4 linked regions of the Schizosaccharomyces pombe genome follow. The protein of the gene in region 1 purifies or fractionates together with the protein of each later gene. This does not show direct contact. Each region holds a gene or a part of one and is shown on either strand. Other genes may lie near its edges.

Region 1 (6,829 bases):
TACTTCTTTATTTCTTTTGAAGTCTGTAAAGGTATTTTTTGGAGACCTTGCCTTAGTAAATTATTTTCATCAAAAAGTCGATACGTTGTACAGCCCACAAATTCATAGACTTCCTCATCATTAAAGGATGGTTTCCAGGCAGACACTACAAATTTTGCGTTCAATGAGAGCTCAGAAACGGTAACCCCAAAGTCGAGCCACTCATGAGTTGATATCTTAGAAAGCTCAGTAGGAAGTAGACTCTTATTTGGTATTTTTGAAACGAAACATTTTTGCATTAAAGATCCTGATTCATTCCCTGAAAACAATTGAATGGTGCAAATGCATGGTTCTTGACTATCTTGATATTCAATGAAGCAAAATTTAACCAAGAATCTGGCAGTCACCTTGCTTGAAGGACAATATGAAAAAACAAGTCTATCCATTCCATATGTAAAGCATTTATTTTTTGGAAATTTCACTTTTTACCATACAAATAATAGCCTGGGATTGTTAATGTGGTGGTGTACTAGCTTTACTAAATGTGGTAAGACAAGAAAGGCTGTAGCTAAAGTACACGAAGCAATGATGAATTATAATACTGTGGAATTTAAGAAATACTTCGTAAAATAAGTACAAAATGCTGAATACGGTATAATAATAATAATATCTCATAATCTACTACACAAGTGTTTTTGCTGTAATTTTTGAAATACAAAAAATAGGACGCATTCATCTCTACATCTCGATGTAAAGTCAAGTTTTGAGTGTCTGAACATAACACTGTAAGCAAAGCTTGAGGCGGAATAAATGGTAAAGCCGAAGAAGCTAAAACTGCTCTGAATAATTGATCACCTATACCCTCTATGCGCTAATGGTGTTTTATGTTTTGTGTTTGCTCACATTGAATTAATTATTTTTAGTTTTCAAGCACCGGAACGACTAGGAACTAAGCAACAATTGCTGCTTGGTTAACAATACGATCAACTATGTGGTTCATTCAACAGCACATAATCTTTTGCAATAATTGATATAAATTCACACTTTCTTGAAATATAAAAAATACAGTTTTATGAATTAACGTTGTTGTAAAAGAAGACCTAACAATTTGCTTAAAAGTGAACGTAAATAACATTAAATGATAAAAATGAATGTTTTAATATTTTATTTTATCTGGTAATTTTTTAAAAAAATAAGTTCGATAAAATAACAAGCCTGTAGATTTACTGTCATATATTCATATAATATTCGGAGCAAAAGCATATTAAAAGTCTGATAATTTTAAATTTTTATTTAATTGTAAAATTTAGAACGAACTAATTATTAATCTTTCATAATAAAACTAATTATTTTATAGAGGCCCTATTTTAGTATCAGTTTATAAAAAATACGTGTCTGCGTAAACCAGTGGAATTTTCTCATAAGATTTTCCTGTTTTTAAATTCATAAAAAATTATATTTAAATCTTAATTGACTTCAATTTGCGGGATTCTCTTATCGGTCGCTTTTGCAAATTTATCGTGAAAGTGACTCAAAAGCTGTTGGCATTATTACTTCACCAATTTAAAACAAAGTTGAGTGGGAATTTTATTCATTTATTTTAATTCTATATATTATGAAGATTTTGCTTTAACCTCGGGCAGATACATTATTAAAGAATATGTCTAGCATACTAGTACTTGTAAAAATATAACGATTTTCATTGTATTATAATAAACTTGAGATCTGAACTTCGTCATCTAAATGATCCCTTTTAGCTAAAGTTTAATCGTTTGTCTTTGACTTGTGCCTGAACACTTTTATTAGTGAACTACATAAATAATTGCATATGGATGAATTATTGGAAAAGTTGCTAAACGATCTCAAAAAGAAGGAACCGAAAGCATGTAGTATTATATGCATAGGTACGCTCCATATTGAAATTCTTATTTATCATGAATAGGTGAAGACCTCGATATTATACAATGTATGAACGAGCACGGATGTTTTAGCGGGGGAAGTTATTCAGAATTATCAAATGATTGTGAAACTGTAAATTTTCGAGGAATTGCTTATAAGTGTTTCTTTACAAAGGATCAAGTGAAAGGTACGCGATTAGTACGATTAACCAATTATCTCATGCTGCTAGTAAACTTTTGGCAAATTTCACATTTAACTGGTGGACTATTCAATTTTCTTGTTAGTCAAGCTTTAAACGAGCATGGATTGGATCTGTTATGGATAATAATGGTCGTAGCGCAGACTCTTTCCGCGTTAGTTTCCTTTCCGGAGAAGTTATTAAATATACTTCGGAATATGAAAACAATTCTTATAAATACCGAGGAAACTGTGAGGAATCGATTTGAAGAGTCTCGTAAGATTGATTGAACTCAATTATCCTGTTAACTGATCTGCTTTAGAGAACAAAAAACTGGTAGCTTTACTGGATAAGAACTCGACAACATTGGATATAAGTAGTGGTATTCTACTAAACTTTACGGTTGTTCTGAAACAGGTAAGATACCCTTGAATACTTGCACATTTACTAATTTGTAGTTGAAGCATGCTTTAGGCTTGCATACCTCAGTCGATAATTCACAGGAATTTATTTTACAGTTTTTGCGAACGACACTTTTATCCGTACCAACGTCCTCAATTGTTTCTATCTCAGCGGACCCAACAAGCTGGAATAATCTCAACGTTTTAATGAAGTATAATTTTATGTTTCAAAAGTTTAAACCTCGAGATTTTCATGCTCAAACAATTCAATCAGAAACTATGTTTATACCTCCTTGTTGGGACACTATCTCTAAAATACAGAGTGTCAATCATGAATTTAATATCGCCCTTTTTAAACAAACCGCTAAAAATTTTTACGATACTCTTGACATAAGTTTATTACTTGGTTTATTTGATAAGAGTATATCGATGTTGAACTGTCATTCCTCAAAAATATCGGATGGAGATATACCCTACAAATCGCACCAAGTTTTTTTGCAAGAACTACAGAACAAGTATAGCGAGATTAAAACGTATTCTTCAAACAAATTAAATAAATCCTCCATAAAATCAAGTTTGTGGAAGGACTTAATTCAATAATTGTAATTGGCCTAAAGACATTCATTATTATTACAAAATCATATTATTTAATTAAAATGCATTAATGAGTTTCTGTCAAAATTTCAACCTCATAAATAATATTTTTTTTCTTTTAAATCATGACCATAAAGAACTATTAAAGTCCGGCTAATCCAAATCGCTCTGGAACCAAAGGAGCTGAGTCATCCAGTAATTTTTCCAATGCGAGCGTTCTGAATTCTGAAAGTTTATTTTCAAATAGAATTAAAACAGCTGCTGAGAGTGACTTAACTTTCTCACCTTGATCAGGGCTTTCAAAAAGAAACTTAGTATACGCCTCAAAGAAGAGCAAATGCTTCCCAAACTCATTAGCTAAAGTACGCCCAGAAGATATTTCTAAGATAGCCAAAAAACTAAACAAAAGCCCTTCATTAACTTCTGGAGTGTCTGATCGAAGTCGGCAGACCTCATTTAAAACGTCAACATATTCCCGGAGCATTCTGTTTGCCCCTTCTATCTTTGAGGTAAAAGTTTCAAAAAAGAGAATACCCAATGTCTTAAGATAGTAGACTAAAAACAAAGGCTCAATAAAAGCCGTTTTCCTAGATGCCAGCATATAACCACTGGTGAGGAGCAGGAACAATGATTTATCTACCTTAAGCGATAATCGATTGGCCTTTGGGAGTGGCTTTTTCGACTCGATTTCCGACTGCTTTGAAATATACCGTGTCTGTAAGAATTTCGGTCCCTCCGCATAATCCTTGCATTCACTCATTACCGGAAAAACTAATTTCCTTTCTAATTCATCACTAATCTTTTCAATAGTGGGTGAATAAAACTGATCGTGTAAATTTCCTGGAAGTAACTGGCTGGGAAAAAGACGTTCATTATCATCATCGTTGAATTTGCTAGCAGCTAAAGAAATACAAGATAAGATAAGTATTTTTTGGCGCATTGAATAGTCACTAACAAATAAATTTGTACAAATAACAGGACCACATATATCTAAACAGGTTAACAGAAGTTCCACTATAGCAGTCATTTGCATTTCATCAAAGTTCATTAAGTCAAATCGATTTTGTAAGGAAATTAACGTTTGTAACAATTCATCTGCATGATCTCGTAATTCGGTTCCAAAAGCAGACTTTCGTTTTATTAACTTAGAAGCGTTTTCCAGTGCAACACGTTGTTTCTCAAAACTTTCTGTGTCTTTTAACATTTTGCACAAATCTTGTACGTACACAGGAGAATGCGTCTTGGATCTAGAGACAGTTGGATCGTCGTCCGTGTCCTCACTGTCAATATCAGGAAAATCGTAAGGCTCCAAGTCATCTCCCCTTATTAAGTCATCGTTTTTAGAAATCACTGGCTTCTCCAAGTGAGTTACATTCGTCTCTTCCTTTTCTATCGAAGTCTCTGCGATAACACTTTCGTCATTCAAAATTTCAATAGGCAAAAATTCATCCTTGAGTGAGCTCAACGATTTGAGAACTTTTGCTTTCGTAGTCTTCATTATTGGAACGTCAAAGGCTAACGGGTTACTTAAGCTGACACCCGAATATGTAGAGATTACTTCGGCCATTATCATTCCATGCATTCGAATATCATCATCTAGACTATCTAAACGGCAAGATATTGCATTGGAGAACATTAGGGATTTGGAAAGATTATTCAAATATTTTGCTTCAAGTTTCGGAATAAATAGTAATAAATATATTGTTAAGCTCTCTTGAGCTAGCAGCGTATAGCTCCTCAAAAATTGCGCATTTGACCATATATTAAACAGAGAGTCCACTGTTTTTTCTAGCTCCTTTTTATCAGATTCCTTATAAGATATACTCGAACAAACTACTTCTACCCTTTTAATTATTAAATTTGTAGGGACGCCCCAATAAAATTCAATTAATCGAAGGAAGTGAGTGGATGAAAAGTTCAGCCTTAATAATGTAGCCAATGAACCTGTTATACGATCATCTCTTGCGGTGGAATATGAAAAATTGGTGGGATATTTGGTATTATGTTCAAGAAGAAGTTGATTGAGAAACAACATTTGATCAGAGACCGTCAAATCTGCAAATAATTTTTGTAGCTGAACACAAAATTTTTGTGTTAATGGAATCAATGGGTTAATGAATGCCTTTAAATTGGATGAGTGTAATAAATAATGGAATAGCTTTGAATATATTTCTGGGGTTTTAACAGCAGGTTTAGATATAATGCAAGCCAATTTTGAAGATAAAACGCCAATGTAGTCGGCCATTGATGAAGCCTTCAAACGTTTTGAATCATCGTAAACCTTGAAGGTAAGCATTGCAGCAGACATTGAATTAGTAATTTTAAAGTTTCCCAAGAAAAAAATAAATTCAGTCCACAAAGATTGCTTTTGATGATCAGATAATACAGTAGATTCCCATATCAATTTACAGTTATCGTCAAGGTCTATACATTCAAATGCTTTTTCCAGTAGCTCAAGATAAACTGTAACAAGATGAATGTTTTGCAAATTAGCCTCTTGAACAAAATTATCTAGTCGAACACATAGCAGTTTTAAGCCCAAAAGAGTAGAAAAACATTTTGCAAGGAGAAAATCTATTTCTGAATTAATTTTCCCATTCCAGAATGTGGGCACTATCACACTAATTAACTCATGATATAATCTTAGATTGCAAGGAGAAGGAACACCTATATGCTGCAGTTCTTTAAGGATTTCTTTTAAACGCGGCTTTTGAATAGGTTTGGATAGTTCGCTAGCAAAGGATTTCATATCCTTGGAGTTGAAAAATAACCGAATTATTTTGGGGTGTTGAGAAGACAGTAACCTTCGGTGGATTAATTCACCGGTCAGCAATCAGCAATATGCAGGATTATAGGCTGCTTGGCTAAAACAACACCAAAACTCTTTACAAAGTATATAGTTATTTTTAATTTGTTGTCCATGTAAATTACTTTAAATTCTATTAATTGTTTTTCATTCTATAAAGGTAATTTGAACTCAATTCATATAGTTTTTTAAATTGTGCTCTTAAACTTCCTGAGAATGGTGTATGCAACAATTACATGGGTAGCATCGGGATATTCTGTGAAACCTGTAAAGCTCTTCGATGTATTATTTTCACGGACTTTTCACAGCCTGAAATTGAATAGGAACTTACAATTTACGTGACAGAAAAAGGATATTATGTATAATTTAACTTAAAGACATTTTGTGCTTATATGCAATAGTTGTAACAAAAGAATGGATAGTTATGCTTTCAAATTCGCTTTCTATAAGTGAAGTATCCTGTTGCTTTATAAGACTAGTTGCAATATTTCTATTTGCTTTTAAAAAGCAAGTAACTTTTAGTTTAAAACTGTTTTTGTGTACCTCCCAAATTAAATGTTAATGCTCCGCTAATCGGTAAGCTAATCCGTGAGAAAAAATGCATTAATTTTTCTTGTTTCGTTCAAGTCAACACATTGCAAATAAAGGTCACTAAATTTACAATTCAGGATTTTTAAATTGAAATATTAAACATAATACGTGGACGAGTGCAAAAAACTACCAGTTTATTTAAATAAATAAAAAAAAAATATCATAACATGTATTATCGTAATCTTTTCCTTAGACTGCTCTTCACACGATGTCTGAATAACCGTCAACAAAAAGCTATTTATAAAAATTTCAGAAACAGGTAGTCTCCTTCACAGCACTGCGAACGAAAACTCTAGGGAAGCAAAACAAACGGAGTTTATCTGCCTTGTTATATACTCGTTAAACGACAACTCAACACACACCACTATCCACCACCAACAA
Region 2 (6,402 bases), on another chromosome or scaffold:
CAATGTCTAACATAAACTTCACCAAAAAAAGTACTATATAATAAAAACCGAGGGAATTAGTTTAATTAACAGAAACAGTAAAAAGTATTAAGCTATTAAATCTCTTATGCTTGCTTTTTTATAATTTGAAGAAAGGACATTAAATATAAAAAAAGATAAGAAACGGAATAACATAGAGTTAAAAAAAAAAGGAAAGAAATTTAAAATCAGAGATTAGCAAAGGAGGAGTAATGTGAGAGAAGAAGCCTACAATTAGGAAGTGAAGTCAATTTATTAGAGCTATAATTCATGATTAAATCACCCAATGGATTGTGCATGTCTAGAGGAAAAATGCTCCAGATAAATTGACTAACACATATGAACATCAACTCTAGAAAAGAGCCGCACGCCATCCATATGAACAAACAAGGAGAGAGATTAGAAAACGCAAGAGTTCAGGCAAATGGGAGGAAAACTATGCAATTCCAAAAACGATCTAGATGTACAAAAGAACTGCTTTACCTGGCGACAATCACCCAAGCTTAGCATATCCATCGTATTTGCGAAAAGCAGCATCTGAAGTAGCTGCCGCTTCTGGATAAGCAGGAGGGGGAAACTCGGAGGATGTTTCGTAAGCTGGAACGGTAGGAGGTTCGGTGGGAGGAGGACGATAAGCTTGGGACATGGGGGGCATCGGATTATGTATTGTTGAGTTATAACGGGCTTCAGGTTCGGCTGTATAAGGGGGAGGAGCAGTGAGAGGATAAAAATTGGTGAATGGAATAGTAGCTTGTCCTTTTTTAGTACGACGACGATTAATGATACCGATGATAAAGAAAAAGAAAATCAGTGCAGCAATACAGATGATCACCACTACCCAACGACCATAGGCTGACCAGGGATATGAATTGGTTTGAACAATGGTGGTTCCACTGCTCCCGTCACTGGAATCGCCGCTGCTACTGCTGCTGCTATCGTCATTCATTATTTAACAGAAAAAGAGAATGTGGTCTAAAAATTTTGAAAACAAACTAAAAAGCGAGAACGAGAATGAAAAAACACCACTAACAATGGCAATACTGCTGTAGAAACAGGGCTTGAAAAACACCACAAAGATACAAAGTACAACAAGGAACACAACGATAATAAGGCCTCAGAACCGTTCTAACAAGATGTATGACCAACAATAATCAAAATTGCACTGATGCAAATATAGGCAAAAGAAGAGTTGGCAGTAGGGAAACACTAATCGTTTATGGCTCAAGTGGTTCTATTATTTACAAGAGGTAACGATGTAAAAAACAATCAGATGTGTTTGTATATTTGATTTTGAGAAATAAGAGGAAAGCAAAACACAAAACAGATTGGATGAAAGAAGAAAAAAAAAAATTGGTTTTCCTAAAGTTAGAATAATGCAGGTTGATGAAGATAAATAATGTGATTTACAAACTGTGCATCTGAGCCACCTTGTTGTCGCATTTTACCGAAGGCGATGGATTAAGGTGCGTAAAGTTGGGACAAGCTAACTTAGTCGACACGGCTGACCAGCTTGGCTGGGCAGGTTTGAAAATCTTTGTTCTAAACGTAAAAATGCAAAGTCATTTATCTGTTGACTTTCAGTGTTGATTTAACTTTGAATATCTGTTTCCATTGTAAATTTTTGGATCGCCTGCTTGTCTTGTTTATTGGCGCTCGAGTGTATTCATTAATTAATCACTAGCACATAATAGAAGATGTAACAAATTATCAGATGAATAAGAAATTGAAAATACTATAGTAACATTGTAGTACTATCGCAATACATTACAAACTTGAGACATCATATTGGTGAATTAAAATTAAAAGCAAATATGCAAGTTTTGTAATTGAATGTATGGACGACACACATGTTCGAAATTTACCAGTGTAAATATGATGAAATTGATATACGAATGAACTAGCTGCTATATAAATAAATAGGAAAAGGCGGACGAAGCGATGTAGTCAATTAGTGGTAATAATATTTATTAGCAAAGAACATTTTCGAAGTCATGATATTATTTCATTTTTGTGAGAACCAAAAAACTTTTGTAATTCAAAAGAAGAAAATATGAAAGGAGTATTTTATAAGTTTAAGACCCAAATTCCACGCTGTGTAAGCGTAAATAGATTTTTAGCTTTGTCTAAAGAGAGAGGTTACGAGGTTATATTTGAAATGTACATTTTAAAGTCATAGTTTTTGTTATTTGCTTGAAACGTACAGAATTGAATATTAAATTTTAAGATACAAAGATGTTTCAATATATTTTATCCCTTGTTATGGAGAGTAATTCATTTATACTTATTTGTCTAGAAAAGATAATGTTCTAGTAAGTAAATGAAAAGAGATACATGTGCGAATGGGAAAAATACAATACAGCTCAAGAAAAAGTAAATGAAAATAAATAATAAAAATAATAAATGAGAAACTACGTTAATTTGGAAAGAAAATGAGTAAACAGATATTACAACTAAAACGTAGATTTTAAAAAATAAATAAATAGAATAAGTATGAAAATTAAGTAAAATAGTAATAAATATATGAATGTATTGTAATAAAATTTATAAAATAAAGATACATATTAAGTATATGAGCAAAAAAGGAGTCGTCAAATTATAAAATAGTTATTCCTCCTTTATAATGTTTTGTTTAATGGGATTTCAAGTTTCCACTTTCATGGCGCACACAGACATCTTTGTTTCTTTTTACATATGGCTTCCAAGTAACGTTAAGAACACTATCTCAACAAGTAAACCAAAAAATTGTTGAAAAAAAATGTGTGTGTGCCTCCTTTGAACCATCTGCGATTGGAAATTTCACTAAGCCACGAAACATCTTATTAGGTAGTATTGAAGGATTTGAGAGCACTTGAAAATGATGCGTGAAACAACATCGTCCCAAAACGTAAGTGTTGCTAAGTGGCTTTGGTACTCGTTCTGTACAACGAGCGACAAATGATCTGTAAGTAGCGAAATCAAAAATTCGCAATGTTGAAAAGCCTAGACATGATGATTGATGAATGTGCGTAATATGAAAATATCCAAGTCATGTTCATTGCATATAATAGATGGACTCTATAGCAACCTTGCTTGTTAGTGTAAGCCTCTGACAGCATCAGTAGCGAAATGCCTAAAAGTTTAAAAAAAAATTCCGACATTCAGTAAATACACGCATGAGACAGTCGAAATGTGTAAGAGTCAAATGAATTTGTAATTGTAAATGTTTATGTAAAAACTAGACAGCGCAAAATAACATCGTAGTGGAACAACATGAATGAATATTTTTTTATTTTGAATGGGTTATTTTTTTTATTTCTTAATCTGTTTTTAAGGAAGTGAGGAAAATTTTCCGTTATTAGTTTATTCTTTTATATTCATTTCAAGTGGTTTCTAATTGTACCATTTTAAATCCTTTCAATTTAATTTAATTTATTGATTTATTTTTTTTTTTCAATTCAAATCTTTTTTTTTTAATTTCATATTGTTTTTATTTATTTTATTTATTTTTTTATTTATTTTTTTTTTGAGTAATAATCTCATCCGCTTGTTTTCGGTTCTAAAAGTTGCTTAAGAAGCCGTCTATTCCATAATCAACAGCGATAACCGCACCAAAATACCCATATCGTCCTCGTTTCCTCTCTCATCTTTTTCACATTTTCACATTAGAAAAGCATATGTTTGGCATTGGAATTACAAAACTTCTCCATCTCCTTGCTTTCCATTCAATTTATTGTTGATTCCTTCCTTTCCATGCAAAACGCCGACCTTGCCGCTTGCCGCATGCCACTACACTGCGCAGTACTGCACTGACGTACAAGGGACAATCCGGAATCCGGAATACAGAATACCAGCGCGCCACGCGTTACAAGGATATTGTCCAATGCACTCTAGGTTTTTTGATCCAGCACACAGAGAAAGAGAGAGTTAATGGTAATATATATCGCAATGCTGGAAACAGTTCCGTATTAGGCGCAAGCATACCCGATGCTTGAATAAAATCCTAGCAACTGATCTTCCAGTGAAACATGATCGACGACCTATAAGTTGCTCGTTAATTTCATCAATTCTCATGCAATTCCCTTTCCACATTTCCATCCTTACTCCTAATACTAAGACCCCATCAACGTTTACTATGTTTACGCCTCTTAACGAAAGGTAACGAATTGCGCCTTTCTCTCTGTCTATTGTCAGAGATCAAATTCCCTAGGCAATCGAGCCCCTAATGCGATTTTTCTAGATGGACATTATGACCAGATATGGTACTTGATAATTAGGTTGTTTATCCCCTGAGGGCCTAAGGGATCAGTTCAAATGAGACGTGATGATTGGTTCGATTAATACATCTCTATCTGGCTCTGCGCGCTTAATTACATCATTTTCAATTAGTCGGGACATCGCAATAATGTCTGGAGAGAGCGATACGGCATGGCTGTGCCTCTTCAAATTTCCTATAAATGGCAAGGGAAGCTCTCCTTGGATCCTCATAGACATATCGCTATCCATCAATTTCTTTTATAGCATTCGTTGAAGTGTTGTAGTGTTGTGTCAGATTTGATACGGTTCTTATAAATTGTAAACATCCTTTGTTTCTATCCTCTTTGTCTGTCTCCTTTTCTGTATTTTATCTCAACTCGCAAATTTTTTTAGCGAGTTGTAGAGCATTGGGTTTATTTCATTAATTCGAATACCGAGCATCGGTTGGAATCGTAAATTTCCTCGTCTAATCAAATCAATCGTATTTGAAAGATTTGTTTATTTACTTTTGGTGCATTGTAAACAAACAACTCCTTCTCAAGCCAAAGTCCTAGCTTGTCCACTGTAAATCGTTCGAAACAGCTAAAAGCATAGCAAGGTATAGAAGAAACATTTGAAAAACATTTGAACACTGCGTCAATCTTTGTTTTGCGGAATAGGGTCTTGCTTTTGTAATTTTTTATTTCAATTAGATCCATTATCTTCCTCTCAAAATACCATCTTTCCTACTTGCTTTCTTCAACAGTGATAGGAAGTAAACCTTTGTGCGTCTTTGCATCCATTCTTTTTTTTTTTTTTTTTCGCGGTTTAGTTTGATTAGCTTTGGATAGGGAAAATGACTGAAGTTACTAAAATCAATCCATCAACTGCCATTACGGAGCTTGAGCCATATGAAATGGCTCAAACTAACAAGGAAGTACCCACCACTTCGCTACTTTCGAAGGATTATTACGGTCATTCCATTGAAGAACCCGATGAGAATAATCCCACTCGTTGGCGCTATGAACGTCCTCTCGATACTGTTCGTGCTTGGCAATACTTGATTGATTGCGATGAAAATTTCAAGACTAAACCTCACCGTGAACAGAATCAATATCGTCCAACCGCCGATTCTTTCCGACCACTTTCGTTTGCCAGTATGGAAAGCAAGTTGACTCAACGTCTCTCTCGACATCTTTCCAAGACATCTTCTCGTCATTCTAGGCTTTAGACTACTATTGTTGAAGCTCCGTCTTTTTCCTTATTTTTTTTCTATCTTTCATTTCTCAAGTTTTTTTATACCGGGCTGTCAAGTGTTTTGATTCCAATTTTGTTTATTTAGTATTTTTATTGCTTCATTCTTTCCAAATTTTTTTGCTGTATTTTTAGTTTAGTTACGATCTTACTCTTACGATTTCTTTTTCATTTTTCTTCTATTTTGCATTTTTTTTTATCTTTATTTGGGGTTTACATTGTTATCAAGTGTTATACCGAGTTTCCCCCATTGTGTTTTTTTACTCCTATACCATTTTGCATGAAAATTATTTTATTTCGTATTTCTTTAATACAATTTTTCTTTTTTTTTACTTTTGTATCAGTCTACTGTCGTTCCGTTGTTCAGTTTCTTATTGTTTACTAATAGTAAATAAAAGTTGATTTGCCTCGAAACACGTACGTTAATTTGGTATTCCATAATTCCAACTTTAGGGTATAGCAAAAAAAAAAAAAATTTTATTAAAAATATGCAAATTATATATACAAAAAATAAATATATATATATAAACTATTTATGGGGTTAAACATTATTTAAATATAGCAGTCATTATATGCATTCATTTAGCCAGTGTGTCCAAGCATTTGACTGACACAATAAATAGTATTCTCGATACGCAAAGTCAGACGGTAGAACAATGAATACTCCTCGGCCTGGTTTACGGGAGCTGCCAGACCGGTATCGCAAGGCGGTGGTTCAGGAAACCCATGCAGTATAGCGGCATGGTCTTCAAGACGCTCACAAAGTTCATAAAGTAATTGATACTGTTGGTCATCAAAAATACAACCTTCATATCCACCAGTACTCTCTGATGGTGATACGTTGCGCAAGGATGAAACCGATCTCTTCCCAGAACCACCCTCCTCTCCATGGACAGATTTTGAATCACTCAATCTTGC
Region 3 (8,162 bases), on another chromosome or scaffold:
AGTGTAGTCAACTGAGCATCGATATGAGCGTTCTGGCGTGAGTCAGCAATAGACTTAGCAACGAATTCATCGCGAATGCGCATAAGTGTTGCAGCATCTTTAGCAATATCATCGTGTCCAAGACCACTGTCCTCGCTGTCACTTCCATCTTCAAGTGGAGTGCCGTTAGAATTCTTTATGATTGCCTCAGTAAGACTGACATTCTCCACCATCTCTGACTCATTTAAAAGACCATAATCAAGCAACTTGAGTCTACAAAAGAAAAGATGAACCTTGACTTTTGAAAGCTTGAAATGATGGCAGTACAAGCAAGTTGAACGTAATAAATTGTACATTTGAGAAAAAAATAGAGGGTGATATGCAGGAATAGGAAGTACTATATGACCAAAATGACCAGGGCAGTATCTTTCATCCAAATGACATGTAGCGCAAACAGAATTTTTTAGATATGGACCCAAAGCAAGGTCATATAATCCGCCGTTAGTAGGGTGATTTAAATTGTCAAGCAAAACGGGATTTACGATTTGTTTGACGGATATTTTTTCGACATCGTCAACATCGTAAATCCCAAACTTCACACTTTTAATCTCCGAAGAGACTGGCTGTGCAATATTCATTGTACTATTTTGCTTTTGTATACAACCGGCACATGCAATCCGCCCACAGACCTATTTGGTTCTGTATGAAAAGAAAATTTCCTTAGACTGTAATTTGCTAAAGTCCGGTGAAATGCGTTACAATGTGCATAGCTGTGAAGCTTCATTACTTATTTTACAGCGCGTTATATACAATAACACACGTAAAATTTTTTGGTAAACTACAAATTAGATATTTTAGCGCATCGGTAAATTTATAAACAAACCGAAAAAACCGGATTATTGATGCTAACACGTTACGATGTACTTTCATTGTTACACGGTTAACATATTGACCACTTAAACCATGGCATTATGGTTTCATTGTCGTAATAAAAATAAACTGGAGTTATTTAGAGAATTCGTACTGTATGCGAGTGGAATGTTGGTATCAATCAACTGACTTTCGTTGCTTACATTTTATTAGACTTCACTTCAGATAAAGTGCCTTAATAGTCTAACATGTGTTAGGATTTCTGATCTTGGTCTCTCTTCATTTTTAAATTTAATTGAATTAAAGCCATTCTCAATGTTTTCTGCTTACTTACCTTAAGTAGCGAAAGAAAACTTTCGTTTATAAGCACTAGTTAGTAAAATTCATCTATGGTAACAATATGGGTTTACGAACAATTATTCATATTTTTTGTTGATTTTTGAACATATCTCCTTCTTTTTTATACTATGGAAGTTGTTACTGACTTTTTCTCTGCTCAAACGTATGTTTTCGAAAGAATAGAAAAAGGTGCGATAATAGTAGTGAGAACTCAGATTTGAAATTAGCGTATGTTGAAGGCTTAAAAAAATTGAACGTTTCAATAGATTTCACTACCTATATGTTTTTATTCAAAAACTTGTGTTTTTTGAGAAATCGTTAAGCGGTTCGAATATGTGTTGGTATATTGGGTCACTTTTCAATTGAAATATTTTTGAGACTAATCCATAGTATTGAGCAGCTAACTAGTTAATAATCGATTAATTTATTTATGCATATTTCGGAAACATCGATATTGATGTATGTAGAAATGAAAATTTTGCCTTATTAAAAATATTTTCTTATGTCTTCATAACAGCCATCTAATAGCAATACTAATCATCCTCCATAAACAATTTGTTTTGCAATTTTGGAATAAAGTGTCATGTATCGAGTCGCATTCCCCCTACACTAACCACCACCACGCCATGGAATCATTGACGAAAACGGAGTATGTAGATGCGTTTTTGGTAAGCTTTATTTTAGCTATTTCCTTCTTATTAACAAATAGTCAAACTACTCTCCAAACGACAGCATGTCGATCTTTCGACAGCGCCTAGAGCAAGTTCGCCTAGACAACGACATGCTTTCGCAGTGGATTCGTGAGCGAATGGATATTGAACGGCAATACTCAGATCAATTACATAAGCTTGCAATGAACATGCAAGAAAAAAACAATTCATCGTTTGCTTTTAATTATGCTTGGAAACAGCTCGAGGGAGAAACCCTTGAAATTTCAAGATATCACAGTCAAATCATTGGACAAATAGCTTCGCAAGTTTATAAACCTTTGATAGATTATTATACTTCTTCACCACAAACGGCTACGCTTAGACGTTTAGCAGAGCGGTTATCAACAGTTGCAGAGGAGATGGCATCGTCTTCTGTACCTGGTCTGAAGGGATTAAAAAAAAAAGGCCGTGATGCGGATACTAAGAGTCAGAATGATCTCACTGCTTCTCGTGCAACCTGGGATTCCGATGCTCCTTTAGCGTTTGAAAAATTGCAAATTGTTGACGAGGAACGCCTCCTTATATTGAAACAAGTTTACCTGACAATTGCAAGTTTGGAAACTGATACGGCTCTTAAACAGCAAGAATTTTTTTCTAAATCTATGGCAGTTTATTCTGATCTACCTATTGAAGGTGAAATCCGTCAATTCATGAACTCCACATCGAAAGTTATGTCTTCCGCATCTGCTAATAAACCATCTAAGTCATCGGGCTTTCACATAAACAATGGAAAATCTAAAGAGGAAAAGAGTCATGGAGAAAATGAATCTGGTGGTAAATTGAAGAACAAAATGTCCACGTTGTTTCGTCGGAAAACCATAATGCCTAAAAAGGATAAGAAGCCTTCGCATAAATCTAATGGTCGCCCTAATAAATTAACTGCTTTTTTTAATAAGAACTCCAAAGCTTCGAGTATTTCGTCTGCTGAAGAACACCCATCGAATATAGATGATAGTTCAATCGAACGAAGACATTATGATTCCAATCATTCTTCACAAATTCGGGATCATCCCTCTACTAATAATAACGCTTCGTCTTATCAAAACTTTAATGAAACTTCCGACGAGGGCGAGGACAACGATGCCACTATTCGTGCAAACAATGTTCGCTCATCCTTTTTGGAGGCTCCGCTACCTGTGCAGCCTAATGTTCAAGCAGAAACGGTTACGCCTAAGATTTCCTCCAAGGCTTCCCCCTTTAATAAACCCAATTCTGTGCACTCTGAAGCCTCAAGAAATACCCCTTCATCGATCGATAGAGAGAATGCATCACATTCGAATCCTATCATGATGCATGGCAATGATTTTGGTGGGAACTTTAACAACATGCAATCACGATCAACAACAACGTCTCCCACATCAGCGGTGGCTTCCCCTGCGCCTACTGAAAACGAGGATAGCAATGCTGCAATTGAAAGGGTAGCAAATACTTTACGAAAGAATCCCACTATATCAAGAAGGACCCGTCGTGCTGGGACAATGGATCGTTATGCTACAGCATCGTCTGACTATATGGAATCAAACCTCGGTAGCTTGCCCAATTTGTCTACTTTATCATTACAATCGGGACCAGACTCGACTGCAACATGGCACCCTGAGTTCCCAAATTCTTCCGGGCTTTCTGCTTCAATCGTCGAAAAGTATTCTGGTGAATTATCTGAAGATGGCCTTCTTCATCCTTCCTGTTCCGGTCATATATTCATGAAATATACCTCGGATTTTAATACCCCTCCTCCTGAAATGGGTGTTCGCGTTGCGTCTGAATTTCCTATGTCTTTTACTCATTTAAATGACCATGCAGTAAAATATGGACCCTCAGAAAACACACTTTCTTTAATACCAGAGCTACTTCTCTCACCAATCAAAGTCACTGATTTTAATCTACATCTTGATAGTATTAACGGTGCTAGTTGCATTCCATTGACAGTTGTTCAGAAATGGAAGCATGATGAAAGCAGTAGTAGTATGATTGCATTTGTGAAGCCTAATCCTGTGTGGAGGAACTTAGGCTCATCTCTTCATATTGAAAAACTTGTTATCATCGTTTACTTGGGGGAAAATGTCCTTGTAAAAAGCTGTCAAAGTTCTCCGGCCGGAGAATTTAGCAGGAAAACTAGTAAACTTAAGCTACATCTTTCGAACATTAATATATCTTCGTCTGGATTTAAAATTTTAGCCAAGTTTGCGATTAGTCCTAGTGCTGCTATTAGAAAGCCAGTTATCGAGTTCCGTATTCGCATGGTTGATTCCTCTAATAACCCTGGTCTCACCAAATTGTTTTTGAAACCAGATATGTTTGATACTACTTCTTCTAGTGGAGGTTCTCAGCTAGAAAGTGCTTATGAAGAAACGAAGGTTCCTACTTCCTATGGTATTCATGTTCGTGAGTGCTCTGTTTTTGCTGATATGAGTTAAATTACTGTTCATTATTAGTCAAGAAAAAGCAAACTGCTTTTTTGGGTTTTATGTTTACACTTTTTTGCTAACCGAATTTTTTGAACATTGTATATATATATAAATGATTTTTAACCAGAGAATGTACAAATGTAAATAGTTATAGAATTTTGAATAAAGAGTTTCTCATTATTGTACGTACAAATGAGACATTGTTAAGGAGATTTTTTAGATTATTCAACGCAACTGAAAATACACTTTCTTAAATGGTAAACCTTAGAAGTTAGGCGAAAAATAGTGTCTTCAATTTAACGAATTCTATGAGACTGTAAACTAGTACAGTAAAATTATTATTGATTGGGGAACAATACCAGATCTACCTACCTGAGAGTAGCCAACAACGTGAAAATTTTAAAAAATGGCTTTGGGGACTAAGCACGTACTCCATCTCACAAAACCGTCTTCCAGGTCAAGTCCTTTGAACATTGTCATTGAACCAGCAGTGCTTTTTTCTATCCTTGACCATTCAACCCGGAAAAGTGAAAATAATCAACGTGTTATCGGTACACTTTTGGGAACACGTTCTGAAGATGGCCGAGAAATTGAGATTAAAAGTTGTTTTGCAGTTCCTCATAATGAGAGCAGTGAGCAGGTAGAAGTTGAAATGGAATATCATCGTGCGATGTACCATTTACACCTCAAGGCTAACCCTCGTGAAGTTGTCGTTGGTTGGTATGCTACTTCTCCTGATTTAGATGCTTTCAGTGCACTGATTCAAAATTTATATGCTTCTCCTGCTGAACCCGGAACTGCTCCACTAGGAACGTATCCTCATCCCTGTGTTCACCTTACTGTCAACACAGATGTTAGCAGTCCCCTTGCCATCAAGACTTACGTTTCTTCACCAGTAGGTATTACAGAGCGCCTTGCTGACAGCTGTGCATTCGTCCCTACCCCTTTTACCATTCGTGATGACGAGGCAGTCCGTTCTGGTTTGAAAGCTGTAGCTGCTCCTAAGAATGACCCATCTAGACTTGCTAGCCTATTCACAGATCTCCAGCAACTTCGAAGATCAACCTTGGAGCTTTTATCTATGATTGAAAGAGTTTCCGATTATGTGCAAAACGTAATTGATGGTTCTTCGCCTGCTAATGTTGCTGTCGGTAGATATTTGATGAAGTGCTTTAGTTTAATTCCTTGCGTAGAAGGCCAAGATTTTGAAAAAATTTTTTCATCACATCTTCAAGATGTTTTGGTTGTAGTTTATCTCGCAAATACCTTACGTACTCAAGTGGATATTGCTTCCCGTCTTAATTTGCTTCCCTAAGCAATTGTTATAACCTAAAAAATCCGGACAATTTCTAACAGTTGTTCGATAGCCCTTTTTTCAAGTCACCGTTATTTTATCCTTTTTTCACACTGGCTGTTAACCCTCAGTGGAAGCAACTGTCTTTATCTCGTCATTCACCCATTTCGACATAGTTTGAGTAGCTTAGCTTGTCGGTAACTATTTAGTATTATACTATAATTGGTTTAGGTTAAACGTCTTATTAAATAAGAGAAAATTTTAAGTCAGAGTCATGTATCTTAACATTTCTTATAGTTAAAATAGTAAGCTTGTTTAATTTTTAAACATTTGATGTTTTTACGTTATAAAGTCGATTTAATTATGTTATTTGTTTTTCAGGGTGTTGAGTTTGTTTTGGTATTGAAAGTAAGCAAAATGTGTATGATGCACCAACAAACATTAAGGGAGTATGTAGAGTAATTCTCTCCGAAAGCACCACCATTTTATAATTTGGCAATCAATTGCCATTAAAATGCGTTTATATTTTAGTGCTTTTCGCCATCCCAAACGACTAGGACTGTGTTTACTGATTACCTTGAGCATTATTTTATTAGGTTGGCAATGTGTTTTGCTATACAATCATAGTCCAGAAATACAAAGGTCAGTTTACACACTGACAGGGTTGGCGCCCTCTTCTAAGATGGCATTTGTAACTATGCTTACTGTACGCGCCGCTAATGGGGAAAACGAAGTAGAAAATACGCAACAGGATTGGTATTATAATTCAACTAGGCTTCTCGTTCACCGACTTGTCAAATTTAAACCTACGAAAAGCAAGTATCCCGTTGTAGTGCTAGCCATGAAGGGAATTGATCAGTGGAAGCTTGATCAATTGCAGGAAGACGGAGCTATTGTTAAAGTAGTCGATCCACTATATGCTCATGAAGTGGTTGACGATGTCAATGACATTGCCCTACTGGATTCCCGATGGAGTATGATGTTTACCAAGTTGAGAGTTTTCGAAATGTACGAATATGATAGAATATGTTTTCTTGATAGTGATATTTTGCCTATTAAAAAAATGGACAAAGTTTTTGATGTTCACCAACTCTCCTATAGTAAGGATTCTGTTCTGTTTCCTCCCACCCTATTCTACAAGCCTAGGCGCAGCATTTTTTGGAGACGCTTTACAGAAGAGTTTGCAGCTTACGGGCTGACAAGAGACGATCTTTATCCCTACGTTTTCGCTGCTGTGTCCGATCCAGGTATGTGGCATGAAACTCCTCCTCCTTTTAAAGATTATTTTAATGCTGGTCTATTCGTCTTTAAGCCATTGAAGGCACATTATAAAAGGTTAATGGCATTAGCAAGGTTTCCAAAATTGTATGATAATGCAAACATGATGGAGCAAAGTTTGCTAAATTTTGCATACAATTCAGCAGGTGCTTTTCCATGGGAGTCACTTGATTGGACTTTTAACGGACTTTGGGCTAGAAAAAATGACTTACCATATCTAAAAGCAGTTCATGGAAAACATTGGCAACCAGAAGGAAGTCTAGGTTATGATGAAGACACATCCAAGCTATGGTGGGATGCGTTTCAAGAAATGCAAACGTATCATGACCAACAACGTAATGCTGATTTATATTAAACAGATGAAAGCAATTTTCATGTCGTGATCAAGTAAAAAATAAGGCGGCTTTTGACTTTTAAGAAGCAGTTATTTTCATTTAATGTATTGCTGACAACACGTACTGTTGAAAGGCTATCTCATTTTTACAGTCATTCTAAAATAATTTGTGTTTCCTCCGTCCTTTTTTAAAACCACTATACTATTCAAATTCATATACACGATCGATGGGATTCTGGATACAGGTAAACCATAATCAAAAAAATAGCTTCCTCTCTGTATGCAAATTAGATCACGTATGTTTAAAACTCACTGAAAGTTCAATGGTTTCAAGAAATTTTGCTCCTTCTTAAAAAATTCCTAATTAGTGTAAAGAATCAAGTGTTAGTCCTATCATCAATTTTAAAATTGTAAGCAAACATGTTATAAATGCTTTTTCTTTGACCAAAGGAAAACCAACGGATTTATATAAAAATTGCTAATTAGTGAGCATACGTATCCTTAGCATGTTTTTCATTTTTAGATTTCAATAAGACATTTGAAAATGTTTTAGGTAGCAAATCTATTTAAAAGTTGTTTTAAATATATATATCAAAGAAGGCTTGGTTTTAGATAGAGTGAAGATGGGATAGAAAATATCAATAGCAAGTAATTGATAAATTTTTTAAACCTTTTAATGTCAAATAACAAGTACTGTAAACTCAAATAATCTTAAAATTTTACATGAAAAACTATACTTCGTACGCATTACATCGTACCTTTAGTCTCCTAAATTGTAGTCAGCCACTACCAAACTCAATAATACAAACTACATTATATTTATTGTATTAAACCTAGCAAGTCTTAACGAGATATAGTCAGTTATAATCCTAGGGTTTTTATTATTCTGGTGGGGATTTTATAGCTATAAACGAAGTTGCGGAAAGCGATAAAATTTGCTTTATAGAATATGA
Region 4 (8,459 bases), 2.6 Mb from region 1:
ATCTTTCCCTTCAAGTAAAGGGTACTTCGAGATATCTAAGCATAAATTATAAGTTCTTTTGACAGCACCAGGGTTAGTGAGAACTCGTACATCAAGGATAGGGGCCGCAAAAATACCATATGGAGGATGAGGTTGTACAAAAGAAGGAGGATGAGGAGAAGTAGGAGAATCAGAAATAACGGTATCTACAGGAGGATTGGAAATAGAGGGGATGCCCAGGGAAACTCGTTTTGGAGGCAAAGGATGGGGTTTTAAAGAGGGCCAATGCTTTTGTAGATCGGAAAGTTTAATAGGAAGAGCTTGAAAAGCTGAATTATTACAAAGAGCTTTCAGTTGTCCATTAAATTGGAGAAACGAGGGTACTAAAAATTGTGATGAAGGAGGCGATTTTGATCCATGGACTAGCCCATGAGAATGATTGCTGTAATATCGAGAGTTAAGTAATGTCCTTGGTAGATTATATAGCCTCCTTGAGAAAGCTAACTCATCGTATGAATGGAAGGAACTTTGAACAGAGCATTTCGGGAAGTATTTGACAAAACATTTATAGCTAGTCCGAACCTTCAAACAAGACGTATCCTTAACGAGTACATGAGAAATCATAGTATAGGAACGATGAGTTGAGATATGGAAATGATATTTTTGTAAATGTCAATTCAATGAAGTAATTTCCAAAAAACAAAACAAAACTGCGGATAGAAACAAGAATAATCGTCTCAAAAAGCAAAAAATAATTGGAAAGAGGTATAATGATATAAAATAAATCCACTATTGGGAAGAATAATACATAACGGGATGGGCAAAAGTTTCAAACGGAAACTTGCAATTCAAACACCAGTAAGTTTTTTTGAGCCCGGTGGTTGATTCCTATATTATACAAACCTAAGAAAATACAAAATTCACTACAAAACTAGCCAAGTTTTCATAAACTGGGTGATGTGACAAAGTTGGTGAAGATCAGATAATTTTGTTGTACACAGAGCCAAAATTGCAAAATTACCGTGTAACAATGTTTGTTCATATTTAATGTCAGCTACGCAGTTTGATATCTGCTTTAACGATACGTAAACTGCGGTGAGTTTTCCTTGTGACCTATTATATTACGAAACGCAGGTAATATAAGTAGCGACTGAGTACAGGTATTATACTATCTAGGTTATAATGTTACCTATCACTAATACAGCTTATAACTGAACTGAGGAACGAGGTTCAGCAGTACCCTATTTATGGTATTCAGATAACATAGATTTTAATAGGTTGTCATTAAGATTAATTTCAATATCGTATCATACATGGTACGATGAATGATTAGGACATGTGCATATGGTGATGCTCAACGCAATGTATTATAACACAACTAGCATTGCTAACCAGAACAACGAATCATAAAACACACCGGTATTTTAGAATAATGCAAACATTACAAGCACTTGAGCAAAAAGATGAAAAAGAAAGGTATCTTTTTGAACAATCATTCGAATGGAGTGCTTATATGTCAAAGGTTTATATTTCATTGTACTCTAATACAACAAAATAAGAAATTCTAATAAAATTGTCTTCGTCTTTTTGTTAACTTGATCTTTAAAGCTAAACGCTTTTAGTAGCAAGCACTTGGCATTGGATCAAATTCAATTGGAAAATCATCAGAGTACATGAAGATATTTCGGTCCACTTGCCAAGTTATTAGGAACAATAATCAATTAAGAGACCTGATATATTTAATTTAAATAAACGAATGAAAAAGAAGATGCTCAAAAGGAAATAATGTTGATTAAGACCTGACAAAGCACCTATTGTAAAAGAACCTGCAATTTCAAAAAAAAAGAAAAAAAAAACAACTTTAAAGATGAAAGGAATAAAAAAGGCTCTTAAAGCGCAAATGTTTGACAAGATTTGAATGTATAATCTAGAATTCCCAGCTCTACACTATGTAGCATGATGTAAGACAAAAATTATCAGATCAAGATTGAACGCGTAAAATTTATCCAAAGATTCAAGTTACTTCATACTAACTAGAATAAGGTCTGATATTTCACGATTTATTTACTTATATTGATTTTAATCAACTGTTTTTTTCATCGAAGAGTTCCTTTTGATAGAAATTAAACGCTACTACGTTACTGGTATAAAATCACCCCTTGTTGTCAAAACATCGGGTAGCAATCCCATCCACCATGTAGATAATACACTGTAAGAAGGTGTTCGTTTGCTAATCATGGCTTTCAATGAGTCAATGTTACACGCTATATCCTTTATACTGTATTCGGGGATGTTGTTATTATCTCTATAATAGCTAAGAATTGGCTTAGTTTCTTTTAAAGCTGACATTAAGCAAAATTGGCATTTCCCTCGAACTAATTTTAAGGTTAAGATATTGAAATATCTTCATATTTTTGGACATTAGCTTTCTACTGAGAAATATCATCACGAGTTTCTATCTGTTGGAATCCCCATATTGTTTTTTAAACAAACTTGAGAATCAGGAGCTGCATTTATCAAGATTGATCATAAAATAAACTTAAGTTTTGTAATTTTATTCTATCTTCAGTTCAATTCGAAACATTAAGAAGTATTGAAGAAATTACAGTACGAACATTGCACATTAATGGAACAGGGTGGAAGTGGATATCGCATAGAAATTGCACCCAACAACCGTGCAAAATGCAAAGGCTCTTTATGTGGTCGGTAAGGTTTTAGCATAAACTGAAAACAATTGAGATATGAGCGCAAATTCAGTACAGCTGATGGTACTTTCGATAAAATTGCTTCATTTGTTTTTAGCGATTTCGTGGCAGGCGATTGGAAACCATCACAGAACGCTATTTACATGTCTAATATTGTAGAGATATTTCTTTTCTACTGACAAAAATTTAGGTCAAAAATACTGGCTGGAACTGTACGATTCGGGACTTTTGTGGATTCTGGTAGATTTCAGAGTTGGGCATGGAAACACTGGGGATGTGTTACTCCTAGAATGTTAAAAAACATAAAAAACAGATTAGGAGAAGATGACATTGTCAACAGTTTAGATGGAATTACCGCTCTTTCACAAGAATGGATTGATAAAGTTGTTGATGCAATTAATGAAGGCCATGTTTCAGAAAGTGATGAACGTGAAAGTAGAAAGCTCGGAGAAAAAATGAACGTTAATTCACAGAAATTAAAAACTTCCTCTCCTCCTAAAGTGGTACGTAAAAACAAGAGGCATCACACAACTGTAAAATCGGTCCTCAGTGATTCCGATTTGGATGCTGAATTTACTGATGGATCAGAAGCTTATGAAGATGATTGAAAATGTTTACTTTTTTTTGCTTGTTCGTGGAATCGCATTCTGTTTTTTAATTTGTCGATTTATTATGAAAGAACTTATCATGACGAAGAAAAGGATGAATGTGTATTATCCTTCACTATTTAAAAATTCATCCTTTATCACAATCTTAGTGATTAAATTACATATTTTTGTCTGTTGAATCAAACCGGATTTTGGCAATTTTCTAGAGATGATCTGGTTTATGTTTAAAATATATTGAGTAGCTGTGTCAGAGTAGTAGAAAAAATAATTATGAAAATAAATATGAGCAATTAGTTTGTACCATTATATAAAAATTGGACCTAATTAGTTTCTCATGACACGTTCGGTTTACTTATTTCACTTATGCTCTCGCTATGACCCACTTCATAGAACCTAGTGATAACCCATCACCTACAAACCAAAGGAAACTTTGATCATTACTTTTCTATTCGAGAATTGTAGATTTAAAATTTCTTGTCTATTAAGACATGTCTACAAAAAACGCGTTGAATGATTCCCAGATAAAGTTATTAAATTCTTTAAATGACAATGTAACCGAATCCCGTTTTTGCCCTTTTCTCAACTAACAGATTATAGAAAGGAATTCCTTCTACCGAGTTCGTAGAGAAGTTTGCTGAGTCCCTTTACGAGACCCAAAATGATGGTTCTAAAAAATGTAAGTTAATATTTTGTTTTGTATCGAAACCATTTCCTCTTCATTCGTGTCCTAAGTATTTCAAAAGCTTTTTTTTAATCGCTGGAGCTTATTGTTATTTTGGGTTTACTTTCGATTTATGGTTTTCCTACTTCTGTCACAGTTATAATAGCCCAAAAAAATAATACCTCGAATACTATACGTTACATATTTTATTATATAGGTATGATTTACTAACAGAATGTTTCAGTATCTTCAATTGATGGGTCTATCAAATCATTTGCGGCATGCCTTCATGAATTGAATCGGCTAAAGTCTAGAGTTGGTGATAGGATACGTGACTATGCTTCAGCATCAAAGCAAGTTCAAAATGAGTATCACCAGAAATCTAATCATCTACGTGAAAAATTTGCACAGGTCCTCGAATTATCAAGGCATTTGGAAGATAACGTTAATGACATGCGCAGCGGTTTAGTTGATGCTGGCCAAGAATTAGAACGGGCGGAAAATAACCGTAAAAGAATTTTATCTTCAGCAGAATTGTTGAGGTATTATTTGGAATTTCGGTCTGGAAAACCACAAACCCTCATGGATTTTTTTCGTACCAATAATCACGACAAAATGCTATTATGTGCGCAAAGGACAAGACAATTGTTAGCGCTTGCTAATGAAGTTGATCTTCCTGATTCGAGCGAAACGCTGGCACGAATTGAAAAATTTTCCGAGTTTTTAGAGACAAATTTTTTAAAATTTTTTAACAACGAATACAGAAAGCCCAATTGGAAGGGTATGGCATCTTTTGGCACCATACTTCAGGAGTTTAATGGTGGTGCATCTGTCGTACGTGAATTCGTTAATCAGCATGAGTTCTTCATTGCTGCTGATAAGGTTCAATCTCGTCAAGGTTTAGAACAAGACCCTATATGGCTGATTTTGCCAGATCCAACGCAGAAAATACCACCGCTAATTCAAACACTATCTTCTTTATTTAGTGAATTATGTTCTGTTATAGAAGGTGACTGCGCGGTCATTAAACGTGTTTTCCCTAATCCCGAATTGGTTCTCCAAACTTTCTTTCAAAGAATTTTTGGTCAGTCTATTCAAAATAGGTTAGAAGAAGTGATGGAGATTGCTAAAGGGAAGTCAAACCTTGCATATTTGAGGACACTCCAGACAGTTGTTTCTTCTTTAAGAAAACTTGTTGCCGATCTTAAAACGATTTTAGAAAATCGAGGGTTTTCGGTATCCGATAATTCCCCCCTCTCTCTTGCTTTAAATCAATATATGGAAGATTTACTGGTTCCGTTTATTGAAGTTGATGATTATCTTAAGCGTGAGGAACATTCCTTACGGTCTTTATTTCGACTAAGTTTATACAAATATACAAGCTACAAAATTCGCTTAGAAACTCCAGAGCCCGGTCTGTTAAGATCACTGATGACTCCTCTACAAGGCAATATGGTTGCGCCTACCGGAGTCCATTCCCAATTTAATACAAAAACTGAAGGATTCCTTTTGAGGATTGCTGACATTCAGGAAAATCTAATACAAAGTGGTTCATTCATTACTGAAGACTACATTACCATTGAAAAAAACCATAGCCATCTTAATTCGGAAAAAGTATATTCATTTATTGGCTGGCATGCAGAGGCTTTAAATAGGGCGTCTATCTTAATTTCAAGCCAAGATTTGTCAGTTGTAATATCTTCGCTTGTGAACCTTTTGGATAAACTGATACGCGAAGATTATGTATTCAAGGAGCTTTCATCTATACAATCATACATCTCTTCACATGATAAGTCGAAAAACTTGGATCTTCATTACCTAGTGGACATTAGGGAATGTAAGAAAATTATGGGATATTTTTCTGCATATTTAATGTCAATAGTGATTCCGTTTACTGGAGTGACCGCGTCATCTCGAAGAGAAACGGTTAACATTCTAAGTTCCTCAATCTCCGTTATTGAATGTGCCGTTAATGATGTATTTTACGCGACCGTGCATGCACTAGGAGACCATTTGGAAATTATTTTAAGTCCGTATAGGCAAATTTCTTATGCTATGACAGAAGAACAAATTGATTCTTCTACCGAGCTTCGTCAATCAATGACTAGGAATGTTCAAAATTATTTAGATTATATAAAAAACCTATATCATAGATTAGGACCTTATGATCCCTCGTTATTGGCCTTAAAACAAAAGACGGCAACAATGCTTGCTGCAATGCTTATAAGTTTTGCTTTTCGTTCCAAAGTCACAGCGGCTGGCGCTTTGTTGTTGCAAAAGTACGCACAATTTTTTGTTTTTTATCGAAAGTGATTAATTTACTGACTTTATCTAGTGATATTAATTTTTTCCATTCTACTTTGACTAGTTGGGGAATTGATACCGTTGATGCGAAATTTAAGTTGATACTTCAATTATTAAGTTTACTTATGGTCAAGTAAGTGAATATCTTTTAGGAGAGAAAGTTTGTTAACATTTAGAATTGACGTTCTTCCAGCAGTCATGCAAGACAAGCGTAAAGCAGGTTTTAGTGAAATGAACATTCATGAAGTTCTCCGTCTACGTTTTGATTTGCCTGAAAACTTGAAGTTGCAACTGAACAAAGAAGAAGCTTTATTGCCCCCAAAGAGCAGTTGAAATCGCTCATTTTTGTTAATGTCTTAATTATGAAGTAATTTGTCTATAGATAAACATAATATCTTTTATAGTGTATTATATAAATAATTTTTTCTGTAAAGAAAATCGTTCTCAAACTTTTTATAAACGCTTTATTTAAGTTTCATTTAGTGAATCTGTATTTGAAATATAAAATTAGCAAGACGAGCATAATAATTCATTAAAGGAAGGAGACAAAAAGGAATTATACGAATGTATAACATCTTTATTTTAAATTAAATAAAAAATAGCTTTTAAAAGTGCTTAAGCTTCATGTAAAGGAAAGCTTCACACAAAATATAAAATGCAATGACGAGAACGAGTGAGTAGAAAGAGAGTAACATATTGTACTGCAAAGTGCAAAATTACATTACAATAAGTGTGTTTATTTAATCTTTGATAAGAGGTCATTTGGCAAAGACACTGAAGGTCCTGCTTGTTGTACTTGGATATCTTCCAACCAACGGCGTAAAGGTTTTCCATAGGGCTTAGCATTATAATGAGATTTCTTAAGACTGAGAAGAAAAGTGTCACTATAACCAAGGTCCAATGTATCTTCAAGTCTTTCGGCTACTGTTGTATTTCGACCAAGACGTACAAAGTGAAGTTTTGGGTACTTTTTCCTAATAGATTCGTCTATTCCAGAATCCGAGTCCTTATCCTGAATTGTAATAATGCAGGATTTTTTTGAGCAAAAAGTTGCTAAGTATTCTGAAAAATTATTATCTTTAATTGAAGATTGTAAAAATTCAACAATAGAATCCCGATTTAAGGAATTTGAAAAAAAAGATGTTCCATTGTTGGGGTGTTTTATGAATAATATGGGTAAATCGGAGGTGTCAACATACGCAGAAATATTGAAAAGATCATTCACATTAGCTTTTGCAGGCATAAATGAAAAAGGTAAGCTCGAGAACTCATTTGAAAGAGATTTGTACAGCAAAGTCGGCTTCATTTTTTGAGAAATGAGAATTACCTTAGAGGAGTTTTGAGCATCTTGGATGAATTTTTGAGTTTTTGCCTCAGAAGTCAAAATTTTGACTTTACTGGGAATAGAATCAGAGACGAATTTTTGGAGAGACTTGTAACTTCGATCACCGTTGTAATCAGTAGAGGAAAGAGAAGATCCTTTGGAAGATGGATAAACCAACTTTATAGTGGGAAAGCCCTGTACCTGGTATTGAGAGCAAACGGCCCTATTCTGATCAGCATCACAATCGACAGCAGTAACCGGCAAGAGTGAATGTAGATTGCTGGCTAATTTTTGGTAAGTAGGTACAAGCTTTTTGCAATAACCACACCACGGAGCATAAAAGACAACTAAAGATGGGCCCTTTGCTTTTACAAATTTACGAAAATTTTTGGAATTTAACTCAATCGTGTTGGATCCAAACATTGGTGAGTAGCCAAAGACGCCGGATACAAGGCTGAAGCAAGCCAAAAAGAGCGTAAATAAAGTTGGAATACGGAAGAGCATAATGATGTGTAGTTTGTCCAGCGTATTTTTAAGGGTAGTAAGGTGAATGAAAGAAAGGAAAATGAAAATCGAAGAAATAAAAAAAAATAGAAACCGTTTGGCGAAAATGAAATAAGAAATACGTCCTAGCTACAAATGATCGATGCAATGGGAAGTAGTTGGTGAATGGAAAAATCGAGAGGTTTACGGCGACAACCACTTTAGTGTGAGGTTTGAGTGAGCATATGTCACGAGAAAATTTAGAAGAAATAATAGGTTTTAGTCAATCAATGAGTTATAAGGCTTATTGAAATCATCATTTTGATATAGAATAGGTAGAGTATGTCAAGACACTAGAAAAATCTGAATAGCGGGGCACAAAAAATGCACGATGA

What was found.
Region 2: the proteins of dli1 (region 1) and SPOM_SPBC19C7.04C purify together in Schizosaccharomyces pombe (affinity purification with mass spectrometry, with the first as the bait; one study listed by BioGRID). This does not show direct contact.
Region 3: the proteins of dli1 (region 1) and syp1 purify together in Schizosaccharomyces pombe (affinity purification with mass spectrometry, with the first as the bait; one study listed by BioGRID). This does not show direct contact.
Region 4: the proteins of dli1 (region 1) and sec10 purify together in Schizosaccharomyces pombe (affinity purification with mass spectrometry, with the first as the bait; one study listed by BioGRID). This does not show direct contact.

What each region holds. Positions count from the first base shown.
Region 1 is NC_003424.3:4,733,833-4,740,661, reverse strand, and holds dli1 (meiotic dynein intermediate light chain Dli1/Dil1), read left to right. Parts: upstream 1-1,764; 5' UTR 1,765-1,807; coding exon 1,808-1,883; exon of another isoform or gene 1,884-1,921; coding exon 1,922-2,065; exon of another isoform or gene 2,066-2,107; coding exon 2,108-2,332; exon of another isoform or gene 2,333-2,378; coding exon 2,379-2,473; exon of another isoform or gene 2,474-2,514; coding exon 2,515-3,057; 3' UTR 3,058-3,181; downstream 3,182-6,829. Other genes in the region: phosphatidylinositol 3-kinase Pik3, read right to left, coding at 1-425; TTT co-chaperone complex LRR repeat subunit Tel2, read right to left, coding at 3,194-5,800. UniProt on the Schizosaccharomyces pombe protein: Component of the cytoplasmic dynein which acts as a motor for the intracellular retrograde motility of vesicles and organelles along microtubules. Promotes oscillatory nuclear movement and efficient pairing of homologous centromeres during meiotic prophase.
Region 2 is NC_003423.3:2,824,751-2,831,152, reverse strand, and holds SPOM_SPBC19C7.04C (uncharacterized protein), read left to right. Parts: upstream 1-4,480; 5' UTR 4,481-5,086; coding exon 5,087-5,461; 3' UTR 5,462-5,902; downstream 5,903-6,402. Other genes in the region: protein Rcr1, read right to left, coding at 512-964; cyr1 (adenylate cyclase), read right to left, coding at 6,067-6,402.
Region 3 is NC_003423.3:3,120,354-3,128,515, reverse strand, and holds syp1 (cytoskeletal protein Syp1), read left to right. Parts: upstream 1-1,794; 5' UTR 1,795-1,814; coding exon 1,815-1,856; intron 1,857-1,897; coding exon 1,898-4,312; 3' UTR 4,313-4,514; downstream 4,515-8,162. Other genes in the region: DNA-directed RNA polymerase I complex large subunit Nuc1, read right to left, coding at 1-617; tif306 (translation initiation factor eIF3f), read left to right, coding at 4,710-5,618; alpha-1,3-galactosyltransferase Otg2, read left to right, coding at 6,112-7,230; alpha-1,3-galactosyltransferase Otg3, read left to right, coding at 8,159-8,162. UniProt on the Schizosaccharomyces pombe protein: Multi-functional protein that contributes to the endocytic process, but also to events that occur at the neck during cytokinesis.
Region 4 is NC_003424.3:2,179,698-2,188,156, reverse strand, and holds sec10 (exocyst complex subunit Sec10), read left to right. Parts: upstream 1-3,687; 5' UTR 3,688-3,780; coding exon 3,781-3,843; exon of another isoform or gene 3,844-3,889; coding exon 3,890-3,968; exon of another isoform or gene 3,969-4,021; intron 4,022-4,189; exon of another isoform or gene 4,190-4,197; coding exon 4,198-6,232; exon of another isoform or gene 6,233-6,288; coding exon 6,289-6,390; intron 6,391-6,433; coding exon 6,434-6,590; 3' UTR 6,591-6,707; downstream 6,708-8,459. Other genes in the region: SPOM_SPAC1783.01 (methionine synthase reductase), read right to left, coding at 1-603; zf PARP type zinc finger protein Hpz2, read left to right, coding at 2,606-2,685, 2,875-3,292; mpd1 (thioredoxin family protein), read right to left, coding at 6,994-8,085.